3 linked regions of the Danio rerio genome follow. The protein of the gene in region 1 purifies or fractionates together with the protein of each later gene. This does not show direct contact. Links are inferred from orthologs where the notes say so. Each region holds a gene or a part of one and is shown in the gene's direction. Other genes may lie near its edges. The genes, in order: pnn, clk2a and ncbp3.

Evidence for each region.
Region 2: the proteins of pnn (region 1) and clk2a purify together in Homo sapiens (affinity purification with mass spectrometry; 3 studies listed by BioGRID and IntAct, counting the BioPlex papers as one, with this or other methods). This does not show direct contact. The link is inferred for Danio rerio from reciprocal best matches to the Homo sapiens genes PNN and CLK2.
Region 3: the proteins of pnn (region 1) and ncbp3 purify together in Homo sapiens (co-immunoprecipitation; 3 studies listed by BioGRID and IntAct, counting the BioPlex papers as one, with this or other methods). This does not show direct contact. The link is inferred for Danio rerio from reciprocal best matches to the Homo sapiens genes PNN and NCBP3.

The regions. Positions count from the first base shown.
Region 1 is NC_133192.1:14,303,111-14,307,410, forward strand, and holds the start of pnn (pinin), read left to right. Parts: upstream 1-1,433; 5' UTR 1,434-1,462; coding exon 1,463-1,575; exon of another isoform or gene 1,576-1,755; intron 1,756-2,500; exon of another isoform or gene 2,501-3,964; coding exon of another isoform or gene 3,965-3,999; coding exon 4,000-4,071; intron 4,072-4,149; coding exon 4,150-4,218; intron 4,219-4,300. UniProt on the Homo sapiens protein: Transcriptional activator binding to the E-box 1 core sequence of the E-cadherin promoter gene; the core-binding sequence is 5'CAGGTG-3'. Capable of reversing CTBP1-mediated transcription repression.
Region 2 is NC_133194.1:10,209,527-10,213,790, forward strand, and holds the start of clk2a (dual specificity protein kinase CLK2), read left to right. Parts: upstream 1-1,393; 5' UTR 1,394-1,506; intron 1,507-3,281; exon of another isoform or gene 3,282-3,572; intron 3,573-3,705; exon of another isoform or gene 3,706-4,068; coding exon 4,069-4,264. UniProt on the Homo sapiens protein: Dual specificity kinase acting on both serine/threonine and tyrosine-containing substrates. Phosphorylates serine- and arginine-rich (SR) proteins of the spliceosomal complex.
Region 3 is NC_133196.1:33,663,102-33,666,753, reverse strand, and holds part of ncbp3 (nuclear cap-binding protein subunit 3), read left to right. Parts: coding exon 1-94; intron 95-207; coding exon 208-425; intron 426-3,411; coding exon 3,412-3,594; intron 3,595-3,652. UniProt on the Homo sapiens protein: Associates with NCBP1/CBP80 to form an alternative cap-binding complex (CBC) which plays a key role in mRNA export. NCBP3 serves as adapter protein linking the capped RNAs (m7GpppG-capped RNA) to NCBP1/CBP80.

The DNA.
Region 1 (4,300 bases):
ATATAGCTTGATTTTAAACTACAGCTGATCAAATCATTATTAAACTGGTAAGTGACATTCTAAGTCGATCTGTCTGTTTTGTATGTTGTAGTGCTGTATTTATACCATAATAATTGTGTGTTGTGTGTGAGATGGGACCCACATATCAGGAATGTATGTATTTTCTGATGGCCACTTTGTATAACCCTGAGTTACTTTTTGGTTGACCATATGTTTGTTTCTAGGTGTCTCTTGCATTTGTTACTGCAGACTAGTTCAGTAAAATGAAAGAAGTGCCTGCATGTGTTTAGCATTTTTCCTTATCGCAAACACAACAGTAATTTGATTAGTAATCTAAATCTTTGGCTTTTTGAGGATTATTGTGATCTACCGATTGCAACAGAGAAATACTGGGGAATCTCTGTAGACTGATGACATTTCATGCCGTTCAGCCTTATAATCTTAAAATGTGAGCAAAATCTGTTTTGTCTTCACTCCAGATATTATGCTAGAGAATCATTAAGTTCTAGCTCTAAAGTGACGTTGGTGAATTAACTGTTGTATAAATGCAATATAACACTTGTAGCAGGCTGTATATCGTCACTGGTGGGACACATCGCACGCCTCCCACCAGTGCCAATATACAGCCACATCACACTGCTACTTGTGTGATATTGCTCATATATAATATTTATTCAGAAGGAGTAAAATTTAAAAAGAAAAGTTATCGTTATAAAGGTCATGTATTCTTAACCAAGTTGGCAAATAAATAGGCCATCAGTAGTTGTAGTTGAAGCTGTTATAAATAATGGAAACCATATAAAGCCATAGGCTATAATGCCATTTTATAGTGTTTCTCGAAAAGCCTATTTTTGTATTTAAAATAATTATTATAAGTCAAAAAAATCAAGAGAAATGCTTCCATGTTGTAGGTAATTGTTATCATCAGACATTTAGGAAAATTTCACATAAAAATCTTGTGTAACAATGTTGTAATGTTATGATGAAAGCTAAAAATGTATCTCTGAGGGTGAAATAACGTTATACGGCTGAATTTCACTCCCTGAAGGTAACTTAATACTAGAAGGGATACAGTCGTGGCGATAAGTTAACGAGAATTATTTATATTATTTGTTTATTCCCATTAATTGTATTTTATTAATGTCTACCGCTTTCCCAACCTCAAACACAACCCTCACAGTAATGTAAAAACAGCAAGTATAATGAGAAATATTCATATCATTTTTTAATCACTCATTAAAATGTATTTTTGTCTAACCCATCCTAAACCCAGTCCTCGCAGTAATGTTAAAATATTGTTGTACAGTGTGCAAAATTACGCAATGTTGATGCGGGTATCAAGTTTACCCATACTTCTATCAAACAGACAGGCACCGCCCGCCCACGTGATCACGGCTACGCGCCTACATTGAGCCGTGCGCGCTCGCGACACCACACGCGCTGCTTGAAGACGGAGAGCAAGATGGCGGTGGCCGTGCGAAGTTTGCAAGACCAGCTCGAAAAAGCCAAGGAAGGCTTAAAGAGCGTGGACGAGAATATTCGAAAACTAACCGGCAGAGATCCGGGTGAATTAAGGTATTGCTTAATGAACGCGTTTTAATCATTAACGAATTTGTTGTGGAGAAATTAGTCCAGGGCCTGATAGCAAGCTAATATTGCGGCTAGCTCACAAGCTAAATGAGAGCACATGTGTCCAATTCGATATTGATAAGTGCTATTTATTTTGAATCACCCAGGTCTTTATAAATTTGTATGGTGGACATCCAGGAGCGGGCTTATGTTTGAGAAAACAATGACACTCCTCATAAAATCAGGTCTTAGCTCTGCACGATGAGGGCTGTTTTCTGAATCTACGTTTAGTAACTTGTTTAAAAGCTTGAAAACAATGTTTTAGTTTTAAAAGTATAAGTTAAAACGAGCATATATGAACTTCCTGTTTCGTTTTGAATGGGAAGAGTTGTGGTCTTTCCTCAAGAGCTTTGCACTGAACATTATAATAGATCTGTTGCATTATCTTTTGTCCCCTATGAGCCTTGATGTGCTCAAGAAACGGGTTTATTTTCTTGTAAAACCGGATGTTTGTATGGGACAGGCTTGTTTATTTTTCAACGATCATATGTTTTTGATACATGTCAGGTGGCATAAAAGGGATGGGCCATTGTCATTCTAGACCAGGGGTGCCCAAAGTTGTTGTTTTTTTGTTTTTTTGTATGAAGGGCCAAAAAGCAAATATGATCGAGATAAACATACCTAGCCAAACTATATTACATTAAAGTTGCCATGGGAAATTTTCACAATTTATTTCTTAATATTTTTAAATAAATTGAAAACATTACTTTTAATCAGGGGTGTCCAAACTTGGTCCTGGAGGGCCGGTGTCCTGCATATTTTAGTTCCAACTGCAATTAAACACGCCTGAACTAGGAAATCAAGCTATTTCTAGGTATACCAGAAACCTTCAGGCAGGTGTTTTGTAGGAAGTTGGAGCTAAACTAAGCAGGACACCGGCCCTCCAAGACCGAGTTTGAACACCCCTGCTGTAAATTGTATTAACTAATGCAGTATAATCAAGTCGAAGGCAGATTCTGCTTGACTTGTGTATTCAGCATTGAACTCCACTGTTACAAATATGATTGTTTATATTTTATTGCAATAAGTTATCATTTAAAAGTTGTATTTGCTCACCACCTGGATTGTCATGTGACAATATGTTCATTTAAACTAAGTCTAATTCATTTACAACATTTAATTAAAACATTTACAGTTAGCTTTTAACAATAAAACAAACAAAAACAGGGTAACATTAAATGTTAATTGACAATCTCAAAACCATCTTCATTTCTCCCTCTCTTCTTAGGCCCCGTTTACACTAATACGTTTTAGTTTGAAAACACATGAGTTTTGGAACGGTTACGCCTGAAGACGCAGTTTTAGTTTGAAAACGCTGCTGCTCCATCTCACTATGGATGGGGGAAAACGGAGATATCTGAAAACGGAGACGTGGCTGCAGATTTTCCCTCAATATTAAGTAGCCTACACAGTTCAGTCTTGCATCTTCTCCTTGTAAGTTCAGACTTCGCAAGCTTGATATGGAAAACAAACTCCCAAGGACACGTCGGGTAAATCTTCAGGGAACAGCGTACTTTAAAACCTCATTCACATCACCTCGGCTATATTGTTTTACTTTCTTAGCAATAAAAATGAAAACATTATTTAAAGAACTGCCTATTTTCATTTTGGTATTAGCAACAGCTACTAATTAACAGCCACCAAAAATGTTGAGACGTCATGTGGCTACATATTTATATGACCATCATCTTTACTGTATGCATAACAAAACGAAGCCTATAACATAACTGCCTCCATTTTCATTGAAAATGCCAAACATACCCTGTCTCCTTTGTTGAATAAGTTTTAATAATCAAATAATCAACAATGGCCATTATAAATGTGTAACGTACAATAAGTTTACATTATGGGAAATAAATGCAATCAATCAGTCAAATGTGCAGAATCCGTGTTTGTGGTTATGTTAATTAATATATGAACTTGTCTTTGCGCTCAGCCAAAACACAACTTGAGAACAAGTAATAATTCAAAAGACCGAAGTCAGGGAATATGTTGTTAGATATAGACAAAGTTAATTAAATACAATACATCCACATGTGCTGTGTGTGTGCGCGTGTGTATGCGAGTGTGTGTGTTTGTGTTTGTGTTAGTCCTTAAAAAAAAAAAACACGTAAAAGAACTGTACATATACCGTAGGAACGGTATAGCAGAAAATTCTTGCGGTTTTTAAACCGCTGTAAACCTTGAAACCAATTACAGTGAAATTGATTGACTACTATACAGTGAAATTGATTGACATGGTTTTAACTAACCAGCTGTGAGGTGAATAACATTAAAGCAAACACTGCATTGAGCAGTGTAATGCATCATACAGTCGTGATTGGTATTTCAATGTATGATTATTAACCGTGTATCTATTGCCTTTTTCAGACCGGGTCAGAATAGAAGACTGACCATCCCAGGCCCAGGAGGAGGTAGGGGGCGTGGAATCAATTTGCTGAGGTAAGAATCTGTTCGTACAAAGACGGACCCATGATCATACTAAATGCATGTTGTTTAACATCTGTAAATCTCTCTCAGGCGTGGACTCTCAGATAGCGGTGGAGGACCCCCAGCCAAACTGAGAGACATCGACGGGGCACTCTTGAGGTGAGGCATCCCTTGCCAAATTTCCACTTTCTGGGTATTTTATGAAATAAGTAAATTGCCATTTTATTGCATGCTATTTACA
Region 2 (4,264 bases), on another chromosome or scaffold:
AGACGATGAGTGGGCCTCGCTACTCCCACCCACCATAACCCTCGCAGCGAGGTCCCACTACCGGCCCCCCGTGTTTCCCTGAGGGTCCTCGGGGGTTGTTTGTTCCCTGCCTAGGGCTCAAAGGCCGCCTCGCCCCAGGGAGTGCACGAGAAAACCGGGCGCCAGGCCGTGCCAGTATTCACTGGATGTTGCTCGGCGGCACATTTCGAGCAACAAACACGTAATCTTCCTTGCGATATTGCGTTTATGTACGCAAACCACAAGGAACTACAGCACAGACGGGCCCGAGTGAAGCTTCACGAAGCGGACTTCGTGAGATTGGCGTGGCTCCACTCGTACCGTCGGTATTGAACTCACCTTGGTCAAGTACAAACAGCAACACCGAGCGAACTGACAACGCTGACAGAGAGCACACGAGCTTTATAGGAATGCAGATGCAAATTTTTACAAGGCACGTCACTGCTATCTCGTTGTCATGGCTAGCGCTGAAGAGGGCTCACCTGATTGGAGCACAGACTCGGGAATCTGCGTCACGGCGAGTTGCCGTCTGCCGTACACAAAAATATATTAAATATATTCAGTATATATATATTTTTACATTTTTGGTGCTGTGTAATATTCTGAGATGCAGCAAAATATGGAGACAGATGAATATAATTGGGTATATGCCGAGCTAGTGTTGTTCCCATATACTTATATACTTCCGGTGACCGGTTATTGTGAGTTTTTTTTTTTCAATTTTTTCCGGTTCCTTTTACAGCACTCATGTTGTAATGTAATTAAAATACATTCAGTTAAATAAACTTTGGCATTCATTTAGTTGTTCAAGCGTAAAACGAGACAAAAGGCCTTTTACTCGCACTCGCCCGTCAGAATCGGCAGGATAGCGCAGTCGCTCCAATGCTAATATTATAAAGACATGGCGGGGAAAATGTAATTTAATGCAGTGCTTCTAGTACAATCTGAGGCCCACTTCATATCTGATATCACTCAGCCAGTGGAGATCGCTGATTTTTAAAGAAAACAGACCTTAAAAACGTGCAGATTTTTCCGTTGGCATACAGTTCGCCGGAAGCGCTTAACCCAGGTTACTTGGGAAATTAAAAGTCCTATTAGCATGCTTCAGCATGTACCCTAAAATCCCAGAATGTCTTTCGAAAAAGAGTACGGGTTTAACCCCGGCATCCTGGCCAAATTTACCCACTGGCCTCTGTCCATCATGGCCTCCTAACCATCCCCATATCATAATTGGCTTTATTACTCTTTCTTCTCTCTCTGTGGTGTGCGGTCTGGTGGAATATGGAACTCATGAGACTGTTCATACTGTCCGAGTTGACGGTGAAAGTGATGCGCGCGCGCGTATAGGTATAAAGACGCGTCGGGAGGAGGGGCCGGAAGTGTTTTTTTCTTCACCGTTTAATAATTAGACTTGAGTGAGAATTTGGGATCCGAAGCGTCAACACGGATTTTCTTTGGGATAAACGGACAGGGCTGGCTGCACAAACGGTGATTACGAATCATTATTTCGCTGTCTGTCACTTTCCCCTTCAAATATTCAGGAGCGTTTTAGAGAAACGGTCCGTTGAAGATTAGAAGATCTCAAAATGGCCGTCGACGAGGATAGCAGCTAACTCTGCTAAAAAAACATCACATTTAGCTGCCGTTTTCAAACGTTGCGACATCATCTTGTGCGTCGTGTTTGCACCAAAAACGACAGTTCACATTTATGCCATAGAGACGAGTGATACATGGCGACTTTACGTTAAATGAACGAGCATAAAAATAGCGATTAGAAATAACAAGTTAAGCCAGCGTTAGTTGGTTAGCTTACCTTGTCTTTACAGCAGTTTTCAGTCATAATTCGCTGGACACACTTCTACATGTTATTACACTTCTGTTTTTTTTTAAGACATCGTTATTTCACAGTTAAAAGCATTTGCGTGTTACCGCTGTGTCTGTGGTTTTTTGGCTAAATATAGAAGTGTGCTCTAATAACTGGGACTTGATCTAGTTTGCGGCTAATTTCACAGGCAAACGCAGCATTTCAAAGTGCTGTAAGTTAACGTTATGTCATCTAGCTTTCAGATTATTTGTTTGAATTCTTCGTTTCAAATCCTCTTCTGGTTCGGCTAAATGTTTATTTTTTAAATCTAATTAATTTTGATTTTTTTAACTCAAAATTATTTTCTATTGCTTTACTATATTATTTATATATATATATATATATATATATATATATATATATATATATATATATATATTATATTATATTATATATGTTTACTAATGTGTATAAAGATCCTGATAAAATCTAAAACTGGTCTGTATAATATTTTTGATGTGTAGTATTCAATGTTTTGCAGACCTGAGGCGTCTTTTTTTCAGTTTTTAAGCACTGCATGGCAGTAACAAAGTGCCATCCATGCAAAAAATATAAATATAAAAAACAATATAAATAGTAATGTGGTGTTTTTCATTCTCATGCTAATGTCTAAGCCTGTGCCAAGTGTCGTCTTAACACCTGCTTTATCATGTCCCAAATAACTCCCCACAAATGTCACACTTGTCCTAAATTCAATAATAGTGAAAATAAAATACAGAAGATACCTCCCCACGCCCCCATGTCTATTGTTTCTGTTAAAAAGTTTTTCATTAATTCATTTTCTTGTCTGCTTAGTCCCTTTATTAATCCGGGGTCGCCACAGCGGAATGAACCGCCAAATTATCCAGCAAGTTTTTACGCAGCGAATGCCCTTCCAGCCACAACCCATCTCTGGGAAACATCCACACACACATTCACACACACACACACACTCATACACTACGAACAGAAACGCCAGCTGAGCCGAGGCTCGAACCAGCGAACTTCTTGCTGTGAGGCAACAGCACTACCTACTGCGCCACTGCTTCACCCTGTTAAAAGGCTAGGTTACCCCAAATTGAGAATCCTGTTATCGTTTACTTCTCCAAACCTGTTTGACTTTCCTCTGTTGAACACAAAAGAAAATATTTTGAAGACAGATAAAAACCTGTAACCCTTTACTTTCATTGTACTTGTGTTTCCTGCTATGCAAGTCAGTGGTCACAGGTTTTCAGCTTTTTTTTCAACAGTGGAAACTCATAAAAACCACTTAAGTGTGAGTAAATGTACATTTTTCTGATCTCTTTAATGACAGGGCTAGATAATTTGTTAGATATCAGTTTGAAAAAATAGAATTAGTAATAATAATTAGTTGAAAATTATTTTTTATTTAAAAAAAGTTCGGAATTGATGAGACGTCGCATTTTGGTGTTTACAACAATTAATCTAAATCTTTCTTGTTTTACTCATATATTGACGTTCTATCGTAACTGATATATTGATTTAAATAAAAATAAAAAAAACATTATGCTTGTTCTTATCTGTACTTATGGAAAATTGTAATTTAGGTATTATACAAAAGTTTATATTTTAAGTGATTTTTTTTATTTGACATGGTTGAAATAAAACAAATTACATTTTTAATACATCCTCATCCTGTATACACAAAGTTTTATGCATGTAATGTGCATATGGGCATTTTCACGAACAGGTAATGATTTATTAAAAGTTTCGTACAAAAATTAATTCTAAATCTATGAAGAAAAAACAAAAAATTAAGAACAACTTTTACCACTGGTATGTAACACAGCACTGCCTTTAGTATACAATGTTTGTTCCATTAGGTGCACAAAGTTCTCCAGAATGGTTCGGTAGTCCTTGGCAGTAACAGGCCCATCTAGCATGAGTATTGGGCATAGGGAATGCCATGACATTGCAGCCCAAACCATCACTGATCCACCCCATGCTTCACTCTGAGCATGCAGCAGTCTGGGTGGTGCACTTCTTTGGGGCTTCTCCACTCTGTAACTCTCTTGGATGTGGGAAAGAGAGTGATGATGGACTCATCAGAGAAAAATACATTTTCACATTGTCCACAGCTCAAAAGATTTTTGCTGTTGCAACTATTTAAATGCTTGTTTTACTTTTTTCTTTTGATTTTTTTTGAAAAAATTTATTAGTATTTTTTCCTTCTTCAACTCAAGCAGATGCCACACTCCAGGCGGTATCCGTCCTCGGAGAGGGCCAGCCGCAGCAGCTACCAAGATCGATATAGAGAGCGGGACAGAGACAGAGATCGAGGAAGAAAACCTCGACATCGCCGCTCTCCAACCTATTCTTCCAGCAGTGAACGTGAGAGGAGAGCGAGAGGACACAGACAGGACACCGGCTATGCCAGATCCA
Region 3 (3,652 bases), on another chromosome or scaffold:
TGGAACTGAAAATGATCTCAACACCCTCCCCCAAAAAGAGCATGAAGATGACCATGTACGCAGACGAGGTCGAAACCAACCTTCGCAGTCTTCGGTGAGTGCAGGTTTCTTATAGAGGCCAGTTTTATCCCAGTTTCTATCCCATTGGCTGATCCAGTTTGAACGTCTTAATGATAATTTCTTTCTTTGTCTCTTCCACTTTCCCAGGAATTCAATACGGACTGAATCCAGTGGCAGTGTTAAAAGTCGCATTGGTGGTGGAGGTGGAGGAGGAAGTGGAGGTGCAGTAGAGGAACGAGGAGAAGGAGGTTCATCCAAATCTACATCAGAGAAAGTAACAGATGTGAGGCAGTTACTGGAGGAGAAGAGGCAGGGACTTTCTCAACAGAGATCACGCCCTCCAGTGGCCACAAGCGGCAAGACCGGTTAGTTATTAAGAGAGCTTTTTTTGTTGTTTATTATTATTTAAAAGGATGGTTCACCCAAAAAGGCTCGATTCAAATCATTTTGAGTTTATTTGTTCTGTTAAAATACTCAAAATAGGTTATTTTGATTGTTGAAAACGTATTCATCAATTTCCATATTGGAATTTCCTTCCATGGATGTCAACAGGACTTTTTTTTTCACACTGTGCTTAACCCCTTCTAAACACAGCTTTCAAATCTGGGTAAAGACATGTTTTATACCTAATTTAAAATTTAAAAATGTTATTAGCACAACTTTTTACCAAGGGTTATAAAACACTGCTCAACAACAAATTTGCTGTATTAAGGTTGATTTATACTTCTGCGTCGAGTGATCGCCATGAACCATGCTGCCTGCTTTGCGTGTAGGAGTGCATTGAATCTTCTTCTTCTTTTGTGTTACTTTGCTAGCTGGCAGTAGGTTTTTATGTTCCTCTTTGTCGAGGTTTGTCGTGAGTTTTTTTGTTTTTCTGAACGCTACCTTAATGTACAAGTAGCTCGAACTGGCTCAGCCGGCGAACTTTAATCATAAGGTAAACACAAAAAAAGTTTTCATCTGGAGCTCCTTCATGGGACTCAACACTTGTAAACACTTGTTACAGCTACCAAGCCAACCAATCACAGCTTGCGCTACGTGTCTTGTAGTTAAATTTTTTAATTGATTTTGTTACATTTTTTTTTTAATGCGACCCTGCAAAGGCTGCTACGGACCATATGCATGTGCTTGACTCTGAAGTAGAAATCAGCCTTTAGGGGCTGTTCACATAACACATCTAAAAGTGTGTGGAAGATGCAAGCATGTCGCTTCGTTTACCATTTTCAATGCACTTTGCGATCGCACACTTTTGTCGTTTGTCATTGCTAGGTGACCATAAACTGTTTTTTTTTGTTTGTTTGTTTTTTTTTTTTTTTTATTCAAGATGATGACAAACTTACAAAACGTTGCGGCTTTGATACAAGTTTTATTTATGGAGAAAATAAAAAGCACTGCAGTGTTTGGCTTTTCTATGTTTGTCTAAAGTAATTAGTCTACCAAAATGTGTTTATTCCATAGAAAGTATGAAGATGATTGGTCAGTCCTAAAAAAATTGAGATGTTTTCAACTAGGTGCGCCTGGAAAACGTGTGCGAGTCCTGCTATGTGCGCATCGCTCCCAAAATGCGCATAAATACTTTCATTGAAATAGCAAACTTGCAAACAAGCAAAAGGCGCGATATGTGAACAGCTTCTTAACCCTGCATTCTGGTGCTAACATTTTTCTGTGGGAAACAAAATGGTGTTTGTTTGTTTGTTTGCTGCTGGAGGCTTGGCAATCAAAAACTAAGCAGTCTGTGAATGAATGAATGAATGAATGTACTTTTGTCTTTATTTTCTTCTCTTTTGCATCTCGTGAAGCTTAACTAAACATCTACGCAGCAACCATTTTATATAGATATTTATGTTTATATAACTGATTACTGTTGTGCTGAGCTTTTTTGCACAATGCATTTTCCTTGTAAATGTGATACATTTTCTTTGTTTTTCCACTGTAAACATGTCCTGGATGGTCATGTAATCATTGCTCATGTTTTATATGTAATTTTAAAAGGATTTAGCCATTTTTAAGATTATAAAACTCGGTGTAAACCATAATAACACGGTGAAATGATGGTAACATTCAAAACTTTTCCTTGAATGTTCACTAAGTAATGAAAAGTTGCTGATAAAAGGTTTTAGTTTTTACAATATGAACGGGGATCCCACGCTTTTTGAAAGTACTTGAATTTCAGACATTTTTCAGGACTGGAAAGTACTTAAAAACAAACATGAGTCCTTGAAAGTGCTTGAATTATATTTGAAATGAAATCTGTTTATGGTGTTATTTCAACAACTCTACTGTGCTGCTGTCAAAAACAGAACAAAACAAATCTTCAATTAAATTTTTTTATTTAAACTGTTCAAGAACGATGACAAGTAATGTGCATTTTATCAATATTTCACAATCAGTGTTTGAATATTACTAGTGAATTCAACCATGTTTAAGTTCTTTGACCATGGCTGTTTAAAAAAAAAACATTTCAGTTTAATTTCTACATTTTTAAAAATGACATTCACAACATAATCATTACTCAACATTTCAGATACACTTTATATTTACATTAAAGATGTCAAAGTACAGTGTAGGCATGGGATGAGAACCTGTTTCAAGGTTTACCACGATTTGGAAAAGTCAAGGTTTTAAAACCATTAACGTTTTCTGTTATACCATTGCTAAGGTACAGTTAGGTCCATAAATATTTGGACATCAACACAATTCTAACATTTTTGGCACCATACACCAACACAATGGATTTGAAATTAAAAGAAGATGTGCTTTAACTGCAGACTGTCAGCTTTAAGTTGAGGGTATTTACATCCAAATCAGGTGAATGATGTAGGAATTATAACAGTTTGCATATTTGCCTCCCACTTGTAAAGGGACCAAAAGTAATTGGAGAGAATAATAATTCCAAATAAAAATTAATTTTAAATACTTGGTTGCAAATTATTTGCATGAAGTCTGGAACGTATAGACATCACCATACGCTGGGTTTCATTGTTTTTTTTTTCCCCAGGCATTTAAAAAGAACTTATTGTAGAGTAATAATCACAATACCTTGATACCATGACTACATGATATTTTTGTTCAAGGTTATCATACCGTCAGAAACATATACCGGCCCATGCCTAGTACAGTGAGGACTTTCATGTCGCTGCATAAGCAGGCGTTGTAAATTACAAAAATTATTGATTTTAAAATTAAATATGCTTTAAAATGTCCTTAAACCTGCTTGTCATGGAAAAAGTGGAAACCATAATGAAAAATTGGGCCAGGAAAATAGTATACAGGCTTTGAATTGTTATCAGTTTTCATCATGAGCAAATGTGGAAGAGACTCACCTGTTTTTTGTTTTTTTCCTCTCCACAGATGTGAGACAGAGATTAGGCAAGAGACCACACTCCCCAGAGAGGCGTCGCTCTGTGTCTCCTGTGATCTCCAGAAAGACGGCGTCTCGGAGAGAGCCTTTGAGCGACGTACGCAGCAGACTCGGTGTAGCTAAACATGACAATCGCAGTCTCTTCTCTGAACCCCCCAAAGACAAGAAAACAGGTACACCTCAATTCAGCACTCCTCTCAGTTCTCTTCATATTTGCTCTCCAATACTAAT